Linked DNA regions of Coturnix japonica. The protein of the gene in region 2 interacts with the protein of the main gene of each other region in a biochemical or structural test. Links are inferred from orthologs where the notes say so. Each region holds a gene or a part of one and is shown on either strand. Other genes may lie near its edges.

Evidence for each region.
Region 1: the proteins of RAP2A (region 2) and RALGDS form a complex in vitro, tested with the Homo sapiens proteins (2 studies listed by BioGRID). The link is inferred for Coturnix japonica from reciprocal best matches to the Homo sapiens genes RAP2A and RALGDS.
Region 3: the proteins of RAP2A (region 2) and NEDD4 form a complex in vitro, tested with the Homo sapiens proteins (2 studies listed by BioGRID). The link is inferred for Coturnix japonica from reciprocal best matches to the Homo sapiens genes RAP2A and NEDD4.

Annotation. Positions count from the first base shown.
Region 1 is NC_029532.1:5,338,730-5,344,763, forward strand, and holds part of RALGDS (ral guanine nucleotide dissociation stimulator), read right to left. Parts: intron 2,266-6,034; coding exon 2,155-2,265; intron 1,966-2,154; coding exon of another isoform or gene 1,963-1,965; coding exon 1,769-1,962; intron 1,645-1,768; coding exon 1,570-1,644; intron 1,455-1,569; coding exon 1,261-1,454; intron 959-1,260; coding exon 837-958; intron 719-836; coding exon 503-718; intron 382-502; coding exon 278-381; intron 1-277. UniProt on the Homo sapiens protein: Functions as a guanine nucleotide exchange factor (GEF) activating either RalA or RalB GTPases and plays an important role in intracellular transport. Interacts and acts as an effector molecule for R-Ras, H-Ras, K-Ras, and Rap.
Region 2 is NC_029516.1:130,772,470-130,779,112, forward strand, and holds the start of RAP2A (ras-related protein Rap-2a), read right to left. Parts: upstream 3,553-6,643; 5' UTR 3,493-3,552; coding exon 3,179-3,492; intron 2,687-3,178; exon of another isoform or gene 95-2,686; intron 1-94. UniProt on the Homo sapiens protein: Small GTP-binding protein which cycles between a GDP-bound inactive and a GTP-bound active form. In its active form interacts with and regulates several effectors including MAP4K4, MINK1 and TNIK.
Region 3 is NC_029525.1:6,752,850-6,758,883, reverse strand, and holds part of NEDD4 (E3 ubiquitin-protein ligase NEDD4), read right to left. Parts: intron 6,012-6,034; coding exon 5,916-6,011; intron 4,851-5,915; coding exon 4,777-4,850; intron 4,639-4,776; coding exon 4,578-4,638; intron 4,021-4,577; coding exon 3,961-4,020; intron 3,873-3,960; coding exon 3,765-3,872; intron 3,319-3,764; coding exon 3,222-3,318; intron 598-3,221; coding exon 525-597; intron 450-524; coding exon 347-449; 3' UTR 1-346. UniProt on the Homo sapiens protein: E3 ubiquitin-protein ligase which accepts ubiquitin from an E2 ubiquitin-conjugating enzyme in the form of a thioester and then directly transfers the ubiquitin to targeted substrates. Specifically ubiquitinates 'Lys-63' in target proteins.

The DNA.
Region 1 (6,034 bases), on a different chromosome or scaffold from region 2:
GGGTCTCTTCCTTGCGCACCCAAATGACCCCAGCAAAGCTCACAGCTGCAGCAGGCCTTGCTGACTGGGGTTATTCCAGGGTGTTCAGATGGAAAGGAGAAGCAGACAGTACTGCCTTTGTTTCCTCACTCTCCTCAGATCCCTTGGCTTTGGGCAATGCCAGAGCCGCAATGATCCCATTTACACATCTCTTGTCTATACACTGAAGGGCCACAGCTCCAGCACAGCCACCCCCTGAGACCACCCAGCACCCCCAGGACCCCCAGGTGCTGCTCACCGCAGGACCTCATCCCAGGTCTTCTTCAGCCGGTGCACAGCGTTGCACTGCAGAGCTGAAAGGATGGCTCTGAGCGAGGAGAAGTTCTTCAGGATGCGGCACTCCTGAAAGCAGATAAAGGGGACAGCAGGGCTTGATGTTAAACAAAGCCAAGGGATCTGCTTTGATTTGTACACCACAAACCCCCAGCCCTGGGCAAAGTGAATGGGGCTGCACTTGTCCTACCCGAGCCACTTCGATCCATCTCTCCACCACTTTAGCCCTCTGCTGTGGCTTCAGGGTCCGGTCCCCGAGGCACGTGGCAATGACACAGTTGGCCACGCTATTGAACTGCGAGACAGTGGCACGGATGGTGGGTGCCAGGTGTTCTTTGCCTTTCTTGTCTCGCTGGGACCAGATGCAGCCCAAGCAGTGGTAAGGCACCACTTTCTTAAACAGCTCCTGGAAGATAAAGGGATGGGATGGGTCTCTTAGGGGAAAAGATGGAGTGGTGTGTGAGGGAACACAGTGGTTTGTGCCCAGAGCAGCAGCACTGACCCTGTGCTGAATGAGTACTCACAGCATCCATGAGTGTGAACTGCTCTGCCACCATCTCAGGGGAGAAGGAGAGGAAATCTGACTTCCCATCCCCGACCCCGTTCTCCTCCACCAGCTGGAACGTGCAGCCACCGTGATCCACAGCTGTGAAGATGGCACAAAGCTGAGCCCTGCAGCACAGAACCCCACTGCATCCCACACCACATCCCACCTCCAGCAGCTCTGCTTTCACACCTCAGCATAAGGCTCAGATAAACACACAGGCGTATTTAACCCGGATGCAAGTGTCTGCAGAGGATTAAAGGCAGATTAACCAATCCACTTAGAAATCCCACTTCTATCTCAGCTGGATTAGCTTCCCTGTGTACCTCCACATCCAGCCACGTGGTAACACCTGAAGCTCCTTACAGACCCTGATATCCCCATGAGCAGGGAACCATCCCCACCTTCTGCTTCAGTCTCGCTCTGCTCCTGCTGCTGAAACTGGGCCAGGAGGATGCGGGCTCTGCGCTCCAGGTCTGAACCAGGGATGTTATGGCGCACGTAGGAGATGAGCTGCTTGAGGCAGGCAAAGTCTGGGGGTTTACGGAAGTCCTCTGAGTACTGGTCCAACCAGGCGCCCAGGATGGAGGAGATGGTGCTATGGGGAAAGGAACAGAGGGGAGAGCTGGGTGAGGTCATGAGAAACATATAGGACAGCACATGCCTCCATGCGAGAACTGAACAGCAGTCACCCCCAGTATGGTCAGACTTACTTCTTCAGCTCCATCCTCTCATCCACAACGTGCCTGGCGTGGTCCCCGTTTGTCTGCACGTGCAGTTTGCCATACCTGAGGGGGATGGGAGAAGCCCATCAGACCTCCAAGACATGACATAAGATGCTGGAGCTCTCCTGGCTGAGGATGCTCAGACATCAGCCACTTCTATCTGCATTTTGGGGCACGGACACCTCACCTGTTAAGCAGCAGGTCCAGCACTTGCTTGGTGGTGGCAAAGGCCCGGTAAGTGCACAGGAAAATGGTGACATAGGTGGAATCATTGCCCTTGAAGGCTGAAACCAGGTACTCCACCAGCTTCTCCAAGGTCCCAGCTTTTATCGTCCGCACCTTACACGTCTCATAGAGGTTTAAGGCTGACTCGTTCTCGAACTGCTGGGACAGGAGCAGAAGTCAGCGGGGTGGATGAAGATGGATTGCCCAAATGAATACATGATTTTCAGATTGTGCTTGGAAGGAGCTCCAAGAACATGAGCATGTGGGGACACAAGGATGTAGCCCAGTAAAGACACTGCTGAGCCCTGACACCACGTCATTCTGTGTGGCAGAAAATCCCCCACTTACCCCCAGCCATCGCTGCCCCTTGTTGGCTGTGTGATGGAGCTGCACTTTGCGCAGCGATATGCTGTAGATTACACCATCCTCCAGCTCTTCTCCAATCTCCTGTGTGGAGCTCTGCACGGGACAACAAGATACACCATGAGATAAGGAGGGTAACATGTGGCACAGATGCTCTCCTAAGCCTGGATGGGGTATCCCAAAGACAATTTGTTCACCCACCTACGCCCAAGCAGAGCCAAGACTCTGCATGCCCACACCCCAGTTATCTCCCTCCCTGTGCCTTTATATGACATAAGGTGACATTGCTGCTGGCTCTAACCGTAATCTCAGTAATCTGCCCTAGCTTCAGCTGAGCACCTCAAGCACCCAAAGCCTCATAACAAATAACAACTGGAGAACGAAGCTATCCATGAGCTTTGGGCAATGTTGGCCAAGCATGCTGGGCAGAAAGTCAAGGGGGTTGCTCAAATCCTAGAGTAGAATGGGTTGGGTTGGATGGGCCCTAACAGACCATCCAGCTCCAACACCCATGGCTCAGGCAGGGTTACCAACCACTAAATAAGGCACCAGATCAGGCTGCCCAGGGCCCCATCCAGCCTGGCCTTGAACATCTCCAGAGATGGGTGTCCTCAACTTCTCTGGGCAGCCTGAATTGTGGAAGAAAACTCAGAGAGCAGCAATAGGGTGGGTGCCCTTGGGGACATATGAACAGATGGTTGTACCCAGGGCCATTACCAGACCCTGCCATGAGGCTCATGTTTCTGTTCTGGGGATATAGAAACCACCTCAGATGCAGTTTGGCCCCCTCTCACCACACTCTGCTGAGTCAGCACCTCTCCTAACTCTCCTAAGAGGATTTCTGTAGCTCCCTCCCTCCAGCCCCCACCCACACCATTTGGGGCATCGCACATGGCAAAACCCACTGCCCAGCAGATGGGGAGAACTCCTGGAAGCAGTAAGAGCTTTAGCAGGGGGATGCAGCCACATGCTGAGTGCAGAACACTGCCAGCCCATTGCCAACAACAGCCTGCAGCTTTCCCTGCAGTCTGCAGAGCACTGAAACCCCCTAAGGAATGGCAACTGCTCAGAGCTTGCTGAGGACTAAGGCAACCAGCAGGTGCCCCATCCCATGCTGCTCCCAGTGGTGGTCTCAGCGCTTCATAGAATCACAGTGCTCGGAAAAGATGGCGAGGATCATCTATTCCAACCATCACCACCATGCCCACTAAGCCACTTCCTTCCCATGTCTTTCCCTTGAAGCCAGACCACGGCTTAAACTGAGCAGTACGACTCAGCATGCACCAGGAACACCCCAGCTTCTTGCAAAGTACTCTCCTCCTAATCCTCTCCCCATGGATGTGAGGGCTGTAGGTCCAGGAGATGCTGAACAAAAAGCTCCAAACAAAATCCGAGCAGAGGTTTGACCAGGTCATCGGAAAACTTGGACGCAAAGAACCAAGAAAAAGCAGATGCTCGTCGAGGTGCAGTCAAATTAGTTAAGAAATCAAATCATGTGAGAGGACGAAATGTCCCGAGATCAATGCATGAATCATTGGCAGCTGCTGTGCAACTACAGTGGAAATTATTGCCACAACTGCGAGGGCTTCCACCTCTTGTATTTCACGTCACGTGCAGAAAAAGCACACCCGATTCTGATGCGTGTAGAGGCGAATTTCATTTCCTTCCCATATTCAAGACTGTCAAGATTCATTCATTTCTTTGTTTGCTGACTCCTGTGATATCCCCCAAAGTTCCCCCTTTGCAAACCACACGCACAGCACGCGGCTCCCAGCAGTCTCCAGTTTGGCTCACGCCAAGAGCTGGGCGAGCTGCTACACTGCTACATTCTAAAATCTGGTTATTTATATTCAGCGTGAGCTTCCTCTTTCCTACCGCTCTTTCTCCAAGATGCTGATTGTGCATTCTGCACGTGTGCGTTAAAAAGCAACCGAGCAAAAAGCAACAGCGAGGCCTAGGCTGTGCAGCACACCTCAGCAAGCTCACATCTCTGCTTTGTAGGACACGGCCTTCAATGCAAACCCTCCCTCATGAGCAGCTCCACCTAAAGCACTCAGCATTGATATGGGTGAGCAGCCCCTTCCACTTCTACTGACCGCTCTGAGATTTGTGCCTTCTACCACGCTCATGTAGAAGGGGCTGAATGCAGTGTAAAATGAGATCCAAAGCACAAAAAGAAACAGGAACGCAGCAAAAACAATCACTCAGCCACCACATCTACAGCTCAGCAGCCCTGAACATCCAGCCATTCCAATGGAGGCAGAGCAAGAAAACCCCGCTCTTGTTTAACCTGGTGGGGAATCAAGCAAGCAGTTCTGCATGGAGACTTTTGCAAAAGCCATAAGTGAACGCTGTGGGAGTTCACCCCCTGAAATATGAACTGGCGGCCGCACCAGATGGCCCGCCTGCTTTTCCAGCTCCTCGGAGCTGTGTTTTGCCCTGGGCTGTGTGAGCAACGCTGAGCTCTGGCCCTCGGTTCAAAGCTGTGCTGACTGCAGCGGGGAGGAATTCCTGCTCCGTGCAATAAACTCTTCCGCTCTCGGGCGCGTGTTCTGGTACACAGCGCGGCGCTGAGCCCACGTCTGCACACAGGGGTTTAATAACGAGCAAGAGGATTCAGGCAAGGTTTGAGAGCCTGGAGGAGGGGCTGCGGTGCAAGCAACGAGGAATGGAGCAGCAGGAGCCTGCCTGCATCAGCCCAATGGGGGGAAACACCAAACCCAAACAGCAAAGAACATAGTGGCTAGGAAACCATGTTCTGGAGAGCCTTGGAGATGAGTCACAGACGTGATTTTGGAAAGACAGGAGCACAGAGCAGGATTAAGTGTGAGCATGACCACGTTCCTGTGCATCGCACACCATTATCCCCACAATTACCAGGTCTTAAGAGCTCCGCTCCCACGTGGCCCTGGGTTAGAGTGCTGGCTTCCAAAGACACAAAATAATGAACTGTTAGTGGAAAAAGGTATTAATTTCAACACACGTGGAAGAGACAAAACTGCTTAAAGAGCTTTAACTGATGCTCCCTCAGCAACAGCTGGTTGAAAGCTCAGGATGGCTGCCTTGCTTGGCTCCCCTTCAGCGCTGCAACGCAGAACTTGAGTTCTGTAAGTGGGCACAGTGCAGCACGGACCTTTCCATGGCACATCCCCAACCCAAAAGGGAATTGCTTGAGCTGGAGTTTCCCATTGAAGCTCTGTATTTGCATGGGTTCAAAAGCCAGATGGAAGACAAAAAGATACTGGGGGTTGGGCTTCTCAGCCTCCAGTCCATTCTTGTAATAATACCTTCCTCCAGCAATGGGAAATTGGCTCTTTCAGACAGAAAAGAAACCAAGGACATTTCCTCGTGGTTTCCAACATCTCTGAGTTAACTTTCATTTCGCCCCCAGGAGCAGATCCTGACCCCACGCAATGCACAGCAGTAACTTTGGGGCCTCTTATGTAAACCAAAACGGACGGCGTTATGCAAAGGAAACTGGAAACAAAAAGCCACCCCCATCTAGTGAAAGGAAAACAAGTTCAGTTCCGTGAACCGCAGAGAAAGACCGCAAAAGCAGAAGTACCCCCCATCCTGCCCACACAAAATGAGAGCATGCAGCACAACACCCTTCCTCATGGGGACTTCCAGTGCAAAACCCCAGCAGATGTTGTCCCTGTCGTGGTGGGTTGGGAACATCCCATCTGCTCCTCAGCCATTTCCTTTCTCTGGCCACACTCAGGAAGCCCACAGAGCTGGTGGGTGATGCCTTGATTTGGAGAAAGGTGCCTAATGCTGCAGTACCCACAGCTCCCAACACCATCACTGTGCCATGCCCACATCCCAACACCATACCCACTGTACCACTTGGGTACCAAGGCTCTCC
Region 2 (6,643 bases):
CCAGGAGGCAGATTTTCATCCTGATGGTGAACATTGCCACAAAGAACATTCAGTTTAGACACGTCCTTGTGATGTTTTTTCTTAATATACCTACACCGTTCAGCCCGCGTTTTCAGTCAACCTAAATTAATGTTTTCTGGTCTTTGTTTCCTAGAGAAGAAAGCAGTAGATTAATTAAAATTTAATATTTACTTGTTTTCCCACTACTTGAAACAAAGCATTTCCCAAGAGTATTGCTACAAGTATTATCTAGTAGATTCTGCAAGACACAAACACAACAGTCCTGTCTTCATAACACCGGTCAGATGTCTAGAGAAACTACAGCAATAGAAGAACAGCAAACTGAATGGGTAAGATGGTTATTTCTGTGCTTTAGTTTCTGCTTGAACAGAAATGAGAACACTTTTCTATTTCACGAGGTTCTAGTAAAAATGGACATAGTAAGCTACCACATGAAAAATATGCTGGGGTACATCTCATCTTCCTAACGCTACCACCTCTCAGCATTCGGAAGTACTCATCTTCAAGAATTGGAAGAGCCAAGGTTTAAGATACAGATTTGGCGCAAGCAGGATCCAGAAGCTGGTATTAGGTGCCTGAACACGTGGGGTTTGAACAACGCATTTCAAATTGCATTGCGAGTAGGAGTTCCCAAACTAAGCTTATCTATCATCACCGGTGATAACTGCTTCAAACAAGCACAGAAGTGCCCTCAAGTTCCCAAATCCAGACAGCAACCTTATGCCTTTGACTCACCGCGTACAACCCGACGCCTCACACTGAGCCACCACACATCTTTCACTCTCCTTTTCTGATTACATTCCTCAACAAGCAAAACAAGGCTGCCACTGCTTCACTTTTTCAACAGTTTCTTTCTCCCCATGTACTTGTGCTGAAGCATATCTCCAGATAAGCATGGCTGGCTGGCAGCACTGCAAGGACAGCTCACTGCAAACGTGATTGCTTTGTACATCACAAGCTATGGCCAAGTCACTTGTTGGGTAGGAACTCCTGTAAGAAGCAGCACCTAAAGGAGGAAGACTTGATTCTGTAAAGCTTTGATCCTGTACCACCACAGTCTTCCATCCCACACTGGTGGTATGCTTAGTTATGGAAAACCCCATCCTACAGCACAGGAAGCACTTCTAAATCCTTTCCCTTCTACTCATCTTATGTCTGGTCAGAAAGGGCTGGCAGTGCATCCATCCACTCAGCACTGACAGGACTTCGGCACTGAAGGTAGTGCTTTGATTCATCCCCAGGAAGATCTAGACAAAAATATGTTTATTTGGAAAAGGCAGTTTAGACTTAAACCAAAATTTCGCACTAAAGGACTTTAATTACCTGTTAAAGGCTATGGAGACACCCTCCACTCTTCTTGCTAAAGCTGTGCACCACACCTGAAAGGGATGCAGGGCTCCCACACTAAGCAGTACAAAAAAAGCTAGACTTTTAGTTATACCATTAGGAGACTTCTCTGGAAACTGGGAGACCTGGATTTCAGACCTGTTCAGGCCTATTAATGCATTGTTTTTTAACATTAAATAGCCATTCAGCAGAAACCATAGAGGCAACAGCTACCTTAACTGCTTCTAACCATTCGCTTCAGAGTTGAGTGAAGGTCTACATCTTCCTCTCCCTGCTGGCCCTGTAAACACATTATTCATTCCTCTAACATAAAACAACTTCATCAGGTGGAATGAAGGCCTTCCTTCGCTTACTTTGGTCTGGTATGTGGTTAGACCAGGGAGGCAGAAAATTGAAGCCTGTATCTCAACTTGAAGAGGAAATTTCACCTGGCTTTTCTACTTTACATGAAAAGCAACTCTGCTTATATAAGAATACAAGGGTACCTTCATCAGAAAACAAGAGCAGGGACAACATGTAAAATATAAAGATACGCACAGGTTACGAGACCTCACTGAGCCGTTCTCAGGTACGTTGATAACTCAGCGATGGTTTTGTATCAATATAAGCAAACACTTGGTTTTTCTAGGTACGCATCCTGCAGAATCCCTGGGTAAATCAGACTGTGATTACCTGCCCTTCAGTAAGGATTAAATGCCTTTGTGCAGCTGCATTTCATATATAACAACTACTTGCACAGGTGCATATCTTTGAATACGCATTCTTCCAGTTCAGCTTGCACCCCTGTTACTGGTTAAACTGACAGTACAACACATCTTATACATTGCCTGCTAGCTCCAGCAACCTCTGAAACAGAACAACAACAAACCGTGAGGTACGTTGGCTAGGGAGCATCTGGTACACTTTCAATGTTAAAAAGTGAATTGGAAGATGTGCTTTCAGCAAGTCAACAGCATCTGCCTTTCAACTGCAGCTCACTTACAAGCATCAGGACTGGCTAGAACCACGATTTCAGCTGCTTTTTGGTTACTTTGCATACAGGAAATATAGAATTAAAGCGTTGCTGGTGAATCTTTCATCAGGAACCTCTCTGCAAGCCAGAAGTTGAAGCCTTGTGACACAAGACACAACAGAAGAAGAACAAGAGTGGCATTCAGACCTACCCAAGCAGTGCTGAGTCAATGTAAGCATGGAAGTGGCAGTCACTTTCTATTCTGTTTCAGCATCTAGAGATGTCAGTTCGGGTCTGAGCACAGGCAGAGCCACAGCACTCAGACTGACAAAGCACGGGGGAACCAAAGGCTAACGAGCGCATAACTCCTACCTTCACTACTTGCAGAAAAACCTCTTCTTCTATAACGTTTGCATGCACGGCGAGAATCGCAAAGGTAAAGAAAACCAAGTTATTTTGAACTCAACACAGAAAAACGCGTTACATCAGCCTTGATACCCCCTACGAAAAAAGTTAAGGCACGTATCAGGGAAGCAGAAAGTTGCAGCCCTCCCGAAGGCCTGGGCCCTGCCTGCCCACTTTCACCACGGCTCTACACCGTGTTCCGGACCGTGCAAGCCGTGCTGGTGGCCCATTCTACAAGGGCTGCCGGCTCCCTCCCCCTCGTACAGCGGCAGCGCCGTGCTGGTACGTGCATTCCCTCGTTGTGCTTCCAGCCCGATGCCCACACCCGGCTCGGCGGCCGCGGGGAAGCGAGGAGAGCTCGGGCCCCGCCTGCGGGCGGCTCCCCCCCACACCCCGGCCGCGGGGAGCACGGAGGCCCCCGACCCCCGCCCCGGCCCCGCGGGGACACGGCACCTCTTGACGCGGATGATCTGGTCGCGCATGGGGCGGATGTCCTGGAAGCTCTGCTGGTTGACCAGGCTGTAGACCAGGATGAAGCCCTGCCCGTTCTTGATGTAGAGGTCCCGCATGGAGGCGAACTGCTCGGTGCCCGCCGTGTCCAGGATCTCCAGCACGGACGGGGACGAGTCCACCTCGATCTCCTTGCGGTAGAAGTCCTCGATGGTGGGGTCGTACTTCTCGATGAACGTGCCGGTGACGAACTGCACCGTGAGGGCGGACTTCCCCACCCCTCCCGAGCCCAGCACCACCACCTTGTACTCCCGCATCCTCCCGGCGAGCCTCGTTCCGCCCTCCAGCCGCCGCCCGACCCTCACCTGCCGCCCGACCCTCACCCCCCCGCCATGAGCCGCCCCCTCCCGTCCCGTTCCCCGCCGCTCCCGCCGGGTGCTGCCGGCCGCGGCGCGGCTGAGGTGGGGCGCCCGCCCCGCCCCCTCCTTCCCCGGTCGCCACGGCAACAGCCAACCGGGCGGCGGGAGACAGAGCGGGGAGGACGGAGTCACGTGGCTCTCCCCGCCGCCTACCCCCGCCCTGAGGCGCCGGCCAATGGGAGAGCGCGTTAGAGGCACGTGACTCCCGGGAGCGGCGGTTTCCTGCCGGCCCTGCGCTGTCTCCATGGAGACAGATGCCCCGCCCACTCGCCCCCCCGAGCCGCTCGACCAATCGGCGGCCGCGCCGCTGTCACGCGGAGGGAGGGTTGAGCCAATGGCAGCGCGAGGGGGGCGGGGTTAGAGCTGGGCGGGGCCGCGGCCGGAAGTGCTGGTTGGGAGGCGCCAAGTTGGGGTTGGTTGAGCGCTCGTCTCTTCAGTGTGAGGCGTCGATAGTGATGGGGCATCGCTGGGTGTCGAGGGATATAGAGAGGAGGGGCTTGGTGCCTGTTACGGGCACAAATAATGCTCCGAACGCTGTCTGAAAAGGGCTCTCGTGGGGCTGCGCTTCTCATCTTCCTTTGGTGTTGTGCTTTTTCCTCCTCTTTTGGATCTGCGGAGCTTCCAAACTAAGTTATCTCGGCAGGATGCTCACAGATGCCTTGAAGAAAGAAGTGCTCATAGAACCATAGGATGTCCTGGCTTGAAAAGGGCCACAATACCCATCTTTTAGTCTGCCTTGAAGAAAGAAGTGCTCATAGAACCATAGAATGGCCTGGCTTGAAAAGGACCACAAAGATCATCCAGTTTCAACCCCCTGCTATGTGCAGGGTCACCGACCACCAGCCCAGGCTGTCCAGAGCCACATCCAGCCTGGCCTTGAATGCCTCCAGGGATGGGGCATCCACAGCCTCCTTGGGCAACCTGTTCCAGTGCGTCACCACCCTCTGTGTGAAAAACTTCCTCCTAATATCCAACCTAAACCTCCCCTGTCTCAGTTTAAGACCATTTCCCCCTTGTCCTATCACTGTTCAGCCTCGTAAACAGCTAAAGGTGCTGACTGCTGGTTTATGGTGAGGGGGGTGATCAGAATGAAGATGCAACAGGAGTGCTCACACCAAACAGATTTGCGCCAGCTGGTCTGTCTGGAGATGGTCAAGTTTCATGGGCAGTGAGGCATTTTGTCACTTAATGATAGTGGGATGATGTTTGCAGGGACAAAAGAATCAGAAAAATGGGATGCATGGGAACAGCTTTTGTGGCTTGGAAGATGGTAAAGGAAGGGCAGAACGGGCAGGGGGAGAAGGTGCTGGATGCCCAGAATGGGTGACTGTTCCTGAGGATCTGTCACTTCCCTGATGAAGCTAAAAACCTTACCATTGCCCTAGATTTCTAGCCTTCTCCCTGTTGATTCTGATTCACCTGGGAAAGATGACAACGTAGAAAATTCAGCTGGTAAGTGCAGGAATTTCTGTGCTAAAAACAAATGCAGATATTAGTTATGTGTAGTTATTTTTAGTGAGTTTGAGAACATGGGGCTGCTTCGGTACTGCCAGTTCTTTCTTTTATGCACATTGCTTATCCTTGCACTGTTCTCTACCAAATAGTTGGATGGAAAAAGAAAAAAAAGTATGTTTCAAAGAAAGAGAAAGTTTTATGCCACCAAAGATTGAGCTAGACAGGGTTTGTCCAGGCTGATATCTCCATCCACATCTGATGAGCAGAAGCAGACAGGCAGTCTCCTTTCCCAGCATGACCTCCTTTGCAGCTTCTCTGAACAGTCTCAGGAGTTATCCAGTCCATCTGTGCCGTGTGGCTGGAATTTTGCTGCCTTCACAGAGTTTAGAAACTTTAGGCTTCAGACAGTTTTATTGCTCCCTTCTCGAGTCTTTTATACCAAGCTATCATATTTCAGACTTCAGCAGCCTGTGGCTAACCACACCGTCTTATGATAGGCTGGAGTTTCTCTATAAATATTTCCTATTTTTACACAGCAAACAACATTCTGTTGCATAAGTTTTGCACTAGCTGCTGTGGCCTCTGACTGTGTGCTAGCATACAAGCGATGGACAGGGCCTATAGATCTATTTTTATTCACTGCACGGTAGTAGAATGACAGTGACTTCCCGTTCTTACTTACTGCCATGTTTTTGCACTTGAGCTGGCAATGCTGTCACCACATGGATTGCATCTAGCCATGTGTCATTTCAGTATTTGAGCAAGTGTAGCCAGCATTAACTGCTGAGGATTGAGATCACATTTAGTTTTCCACCTAATACTTCTTGTCAAAATGTCTGATTAGAACTGTCCATACAGCTGCTACCAAACTCATGATACAACTAACTAAAGTGAAAGGTGGCTGACTTTTCTTATCCCTGGCACTTGTAGGTGATCACACTGTTAATTTCCCTTTCTTCCCTATAGTGGCATTATACCTTTTTCTTACCAACTACCAAATCATAGGTGTTTGTCATCTTCATGATAACAGCAGCTTTCCAGATGAGAGCAGGAACCACACCAAGGCACTTGTGAAGGAACAGAACACTGGACCTGAGCTTGACTGAGGACAGTGTATGCACAGGAGCCAGGCTGGTAGGGATCCAGGAGGGCACAGGGTAGGGTTTGATGTACTGCTGGAAGACTGTATGATAGAGCTGTGCTGCTTGTTTGTTTGTTTGTTCTTAAGGAAAAAGCTTTTAAGTTTCAAGGTTGTAGTGCTTGTGTTTTGCAGTAGTAGAGCCAAAGTCTTATGAGGAGTGGCTGAGAGAACTGGGATTGTTTAGTCTGGAGAAGAGGAGGCTCAGGGGAGACCTTATCACACTCTACAATGACCTGAAAGAGAGTTGCGGTGAGGAGTTGGTCTCTTCTTCCATGTGACTAACAATAGGACTAGAGGGAATGGCAAGCAAGCACACCGAAATGGGAGATCCTAAACCATCAGGTAAGGATGCACTGGCAGTTCTTTTCCCCTCATGTTAAACTCTGTGTAGTCTTCATTTAAGCATCTTTGGAATCAGGGAGACAAAATTTGAGCAGGTACCTGGTGTACCAT
Region 3 (6,034 bases), on a different chromosome or scaffold from region 2:
CCTCTGCAAAGATTTCTTCACAGTTTTACTTCAGTAGTTTACTGCAGGACAGTCTGTCAAATACTGTAAGAAGAAGCAACTGCTTAAAAACATTTTAGCTGTTGACTTACTTGGCACTGGCCCATCCAACGTGTATATTGTAGTAATTATCAAAGTATACAAAACTGTGGAAATGGCAAAATATGTTTTCAAAAGTTAGTGAATTTTTAATACTTATTTTACAAGTGATACTATGAAGATTGAATACTCGTGTGACTAAGTAAAATGGTAGTCCCTGGAAAATTCAAATCTGTAAACCCTTGAAATGAAGTTGCAGCACTGGACCGTTACAATTTATGTCTGTGGCTTAATCAACCCCATCAAAGCCCTGAGTATTTTCAATCGCTAGAAGAAGTTTATCCCATAAATCTTCAAATGAATCATACGGAGGCAAATCCAAGCGATTAAAGCTGAAAAACAGATGAAAATTCGTAAGTATTTCTTCATTAACTCAAGGACACAGTTTACCTAAACTAAATACTCACCAGGTATGAGCTCTTGGCAGTTTTTCAGGGGTGCCCCACTGTTCAACTGTAAACAACTGTGGTCCATTTGAACCTGTAGGGAAGAGCACTTCAGTTTTCACCTGATCACATGATTCTTTTCACTATCATTTCAAATTATGAAATACATTGTTCTTTTGTCATCAGATTCTGACTATCAGACTATCTAAATCTGACATCAGATTTAGAAGGAGCCTTTTGCATGAATTAAATACAGTAAACACAATAATTGTCGATAATTTGAATTTACTTCAAGTATTTCTTGGTACATCTTAATTTCAAAAGGCTTTTACACACCTTAAAGTCAGAAGTCTCAGACCTAAACATGCATGCATAGCAAATGGCATTGAACACTTCATGTGGAAGACAGTTTTATGCTGCGTGTTTTCTGTGTAAAAATTTAGACATACTTTTCACAATGTGCCATGTGGCAACGTGGACCTATCAGAAATTAGTCAACGTGTCCCTTTACCTGGGCAACAGCAGAGCAGAGTAACTGAAAACTTTCTGAAATACAGCAACCTTGTGTGCAGCTCTAGAGACCTCACGTAATGAACACACACACCTGAGAGAACTGTTGGTTAGCAACTGCAGCTCCAGCTACACCTGAGTCTTCAACAACTCTTTTACAGTATGAGACATCTGAAAGGTTTTTAAATCTAATCAACTCGTCCCACGTGGATGGGAAAGGCCTTTTGTAACTGCACAGTGACAATAATGAAAAGATGGTAGTAAATATCCAAAAGGTTATTTACAGGAAACACTCAACTGTATGGAAGCCTTCAGTCTGCTAGAAACCACTGAGGCAATCTCCACTGAGGAGCAATCTCCAAGAGATGCTGCCTTAGTGGTGGTCAGCCCTTGAATGAGGTCTAGAGGAGGTGGAGTGAAGCTCCACCCCTTCCGGGAGCACAGCTAAACTACCCTCACCTGTGGTCCCACAGCTGACCCAACACTTGCCTCAGCTGATTAATCAGAGCTTCAGGCTGTGATTACCAATTTCCCATACAGTAACCATTTCCTTAAGCTGTGGAAAGCATTTGTCTGCATGTCAAAAAGACAGAATCACTATTTTGTCAGAGAACAAGAGATGACCTACGATGGTGGGTGTCCTCTCACTTCTACAAGGAGACCATCAATACTAATAGGAACCTCCCAAGCTTAGAGAAGGCGACTAGAAAGAATGCCAGGAAGAAGGATGAATCAGAGAAGTAGCTCTACAATTGAGAATGCTTTCTGCCACGTGACATGAAAATAAAAGACTCTCTTTTCACAGCCAGGTGTGAATAAGCCTGTATTTTAGCCACTCAACTACTGAACTAGAGGCTTACAAAGCAAGGCTGGGGGAAGACAAGAAACAGAAGAAATCTCAGCTGTTTTGTGCATCTGCTCTCAAGCGTTGCTCGATTCACACCGCATTCTTTTTAATGAACAGAAATTCCCGGCGTGGCCACAAGAGGGAGATGTGCCGCTAGGAAGCGAGCCCCAAGAACGAAAGCAACCCAGGCGTAGGGCATGGAAAGCACCGACAGTCCTTCAAATACAAGCAGGTACGAGTGTGACTCAGACCATTACTGGGATTTAGCGAGGATGGCACGCTGGCCACAGCGAAGAAGAAACGACTGTAAAAGGAAGAACCAAAGCACTGTGCTCACTGAACGGAAATGTCAAAACTGTAACTTGTCCAGAAGGCTGCCCAAGGATATAAATCCCTGAGCAGAAAGTGGTTAAGAGATCCAACAGATTCTTCCCTTCCTTACAGGATTTTATTTGTCTAAAAACACTTCCAGAGGCAACAGAATTCCTATCAAGTTCCAAGTGCTGCAGCTCCAAAGCAGTGCCCATGGATCAGGTGTGAGAGCAGACACCTGGCTCAGCAATGCTGCACACATCATTTTTCTCCTTGGTACTCACAACCCCTTCAGTGATGGAATGGAAAAAAATAATGAAGCAAGTATTCACAATGAAAATGAAGAGAGGAGAAAACCAGGACACAGAGTGGTTGGTATTTGTTGATAATCCTATTGTTTTATACACAAATCACTGTGTTGTTTACAAAGAAGGAAATGTTAATTTAAATATACAAGTTAGACTGTTCAGTCACTTGCACTTGCAGTTCAGCCTTAATGAAGCAGTCTAGCAGAAAACTCAATAGCTGATGGCAGCTGAAAACAGATTTCTCACAAGCATCCCTACCCTTCATGGGCCGTCCTATCTGCTTGCCCACAGACTTTCCACAAAGGGACATCTCATTTTAGCACTGCAGCCTGCCTCCCACTGCCATCTGCTTGCTTCAGTCTCCCTGCTGTGGGTTTGCTACTTCTCTTGGCTCATGTTTAACTCACATCATTTCAGTGGTCCACTTCAGAGTGGATATCCTTACAAACAATTCTATTTGTGTAGGTGTGGCTTGGGGGCAGATGAAGGCAGTTACAGAACTCATGAGAATCTGAAGTTAACTACTGATACAAGCATGTCTTTGTAACATTATCTTATACAACAGAATTTTCTTCAAGCTCACCGAGGTGTTAAACAGAGATCTTTGAAGCTCTTCAGAACTTATTTTAAAACAGAAATAGAAAAAAAAAAAACAAAAAAAAACCAACCCCATGTTTAAAGTCAAATATCATTAAAATATCGTTTTCTCAGTTAATTGTGAATACAATCTTATGCACTCACCATAAAGCTCAGCAAACCCATTCATAGGTACACGCGATGTGCCAGTAACAAACTGCAGTAATCTTATTCTCTTTTCAGAGTCCATCATTAAGACTGCCTGTGTATGATAATAATTACAATTAAGGACTTAGCTGAAAGGTTTTTAATTAAGGTTTTAAGCTAGTAGAATTATGCAACAGACTTTCCACCCCTACTGTCTTTGAAGTTCCCTGATGCTATCAATTAGCAGCCAAATTCCGCTATTTTATTAGATGGAAGATTTTAACCTTTTCAGTTTAACTATGTAACAGAAAGCTACACAGTAATATTTAAACCCAAACAGGTTTGTTTTAGTTGTTGTTGTTTTTTATAGGCAAGTTACCAGCAGTCTGTTACACTCTTACCATGCATCTCATTCAGTTTGCTTATCGTCTTTCTCAGGATTTTCAACATACAATTATTTACCCAATTACTGATGAATCAACTACGTGCTGAACTGGCATAGCTGAAATGGAGCATCTTTTGAACAGGCTTTTTTAAGTGAAAATAAAAATCTGGTAATACCTTCCAAAACCACTGTATGACTTGATGATTGACATTGTAGCCATTTTTGTACTTCGTATGTAGTTTCCAATCAGCTACATCCACATCCCCCAGTCCACACATCAGTAACTATATGCATGAAAAAAAAACAAGCAAAGTTTAATTCTGTAATAAAAAGTTTCATTGTAATTTGTTTTCTTTTCTACAATATGCTTACCTCCAGCTCATTTTCATCAAAAATCTTAATCAGATCCTGAGGTATTAGTTCAAAAAAGCCCTAAAAACAGAAGTTTTAAAAATCAAGACAATATTATTTATGCGTTTTCATTTACAAACAATGATACCTATAGAAAACAGAGCCTAAGCGATATATCAAATACAGCTCCTTGATCTTCAGCTATTCACTGATTAATTCCTTCAATTCTGACTTATTCCATGTTTCTTTACCATGCTGTACCGAATTACCAACTCTGATCACTGTGTAAGTAATATCACTCACACAAATAAGGATGAACTAGCTAGTTTCATTTAATTCTTTTAGTCTGATTCCATTTTCATTTATGCAGAATTCAGTCAGTAATTTGCATTACAGCTACAGCTGTCAGCCAGGATTGAGAAATATGCAAATTTTCCAATATGAATTTACCACCTCAGTAAAAATTTACTAAAACAATTTGAGACAGAGAAAATTCAAAGCTGACATTACAAAGTGCCACTGCCTTTCTTATACTTGTAACAATACTACAACAGGTCTTTAGGATGTCACATTCTAAAAAGCCTGTCTTAAGACTGGATGCAACAAATTCTACGAATCTTTTGTATTTAAAATTATACCTCTTTAAAGGCTGCCATTTGTTTCTGTACTCTGCTCACAAATCTCCACTGAATTACAAGACTGTGGGAAAAAAGAGAATATTTAAATGAAAACCAATCTATACACAGTAGCAACTTTCTTTTGTTAATACAGCCAACATAGGCTTGATTCTTAGAGTGGCTACCCAGGGAGACAACTTACACAGGGACCACTACTTACTGAATGTAGTCTCTCTTGTTCTTGTTGGTGACAACTATTTCTGATCCACCACTTTTCAGTTCATGCTGATGAGTCTAGATGAGGTACAAAGAACAGGTCTTACATCAGATTGCTGTATTTGTAAATTGTAAATTGTAAAATATTATGTAATTCAGCTAAATCTTCAAGAAAATAGAATTTGAAAATTATGAGAAACGGTACAAGTTTCAGGCGTAATAGAATCAACCTTTGTTTTAATCCATTTTTTTAGAGATTTTTAGCACATCAATCTCAATTTTGTATTATTTGGCTACAATAAATGACTTAAATTTGCATACAAGTTTTCAGTAGTACTGGCTTCACTAAGTACATGTTCAGTGAGCAAGTCTGATTTTCATGTATCAAGGAAAAATACTTATGGAACAATTTCAGCAATGACCTCCTGTAAATATGTGAAATCTGCACATATATCAGTATCCTAATGATTTACACCATCAGAACCTCAGTGGACAGATGTCGGATTTCCTATTTATTACAGACGCACTGTTTCACCTTCTTAAGAGGAATCAAATCAGCTACACAAGACCTCAAAGGCTATTTAGCTTACTTGGATCTTCCTGGCACGTAATTGAAAGAACCTTTGTTATTTCTATGTGATCTGTGTTGGACAACTTTCTATACTACACCAAACTGGTTTACTCCATAGTTGTCTTGAACAGCTTAAAGAAAAATAAAACAGAAAACCCTATTATTAACTCTGAGAGAAATTTATGATTCCAACCTTTCCCCTACGAGCACATCTTTCCCAGCAAATAAGATAAAATCAGTTTCCTACTGGTCAAGTAATGGGACCATCAATATTTTAGTTTTAGCTGCATTTACAGCAAGAGCCACATTTCAATGTGAGTGCTATGAAAAAAGCATAAGATATTGTTTCTAAGGCTGTGCTCATTTCCAAGTCCTTTATCACATCACATCCTGACTAACAAAGGATTGAATGAGCATGTGCCAGCTAAAGGAAGTTGAATAAACAGATCAACATGACTGAATGATGAACTTTTTTTGTTTTCTTAATACCATACAGATAAAATCAACTATTCTCATAGGTCAAAAGTTTTGTTTCACACTTTGCCTACTGTACTTCACATATGCATACTAACCTGTCCAAAAAGTTCTTCATCAACTATAAATCTGAGGTCCAGTTCCGCTGGATCATTTTCAAGAATCCATCTCAGAGAATTGTAATATTCACTATCCTAAAAGAGAGAAGTACAAGTTT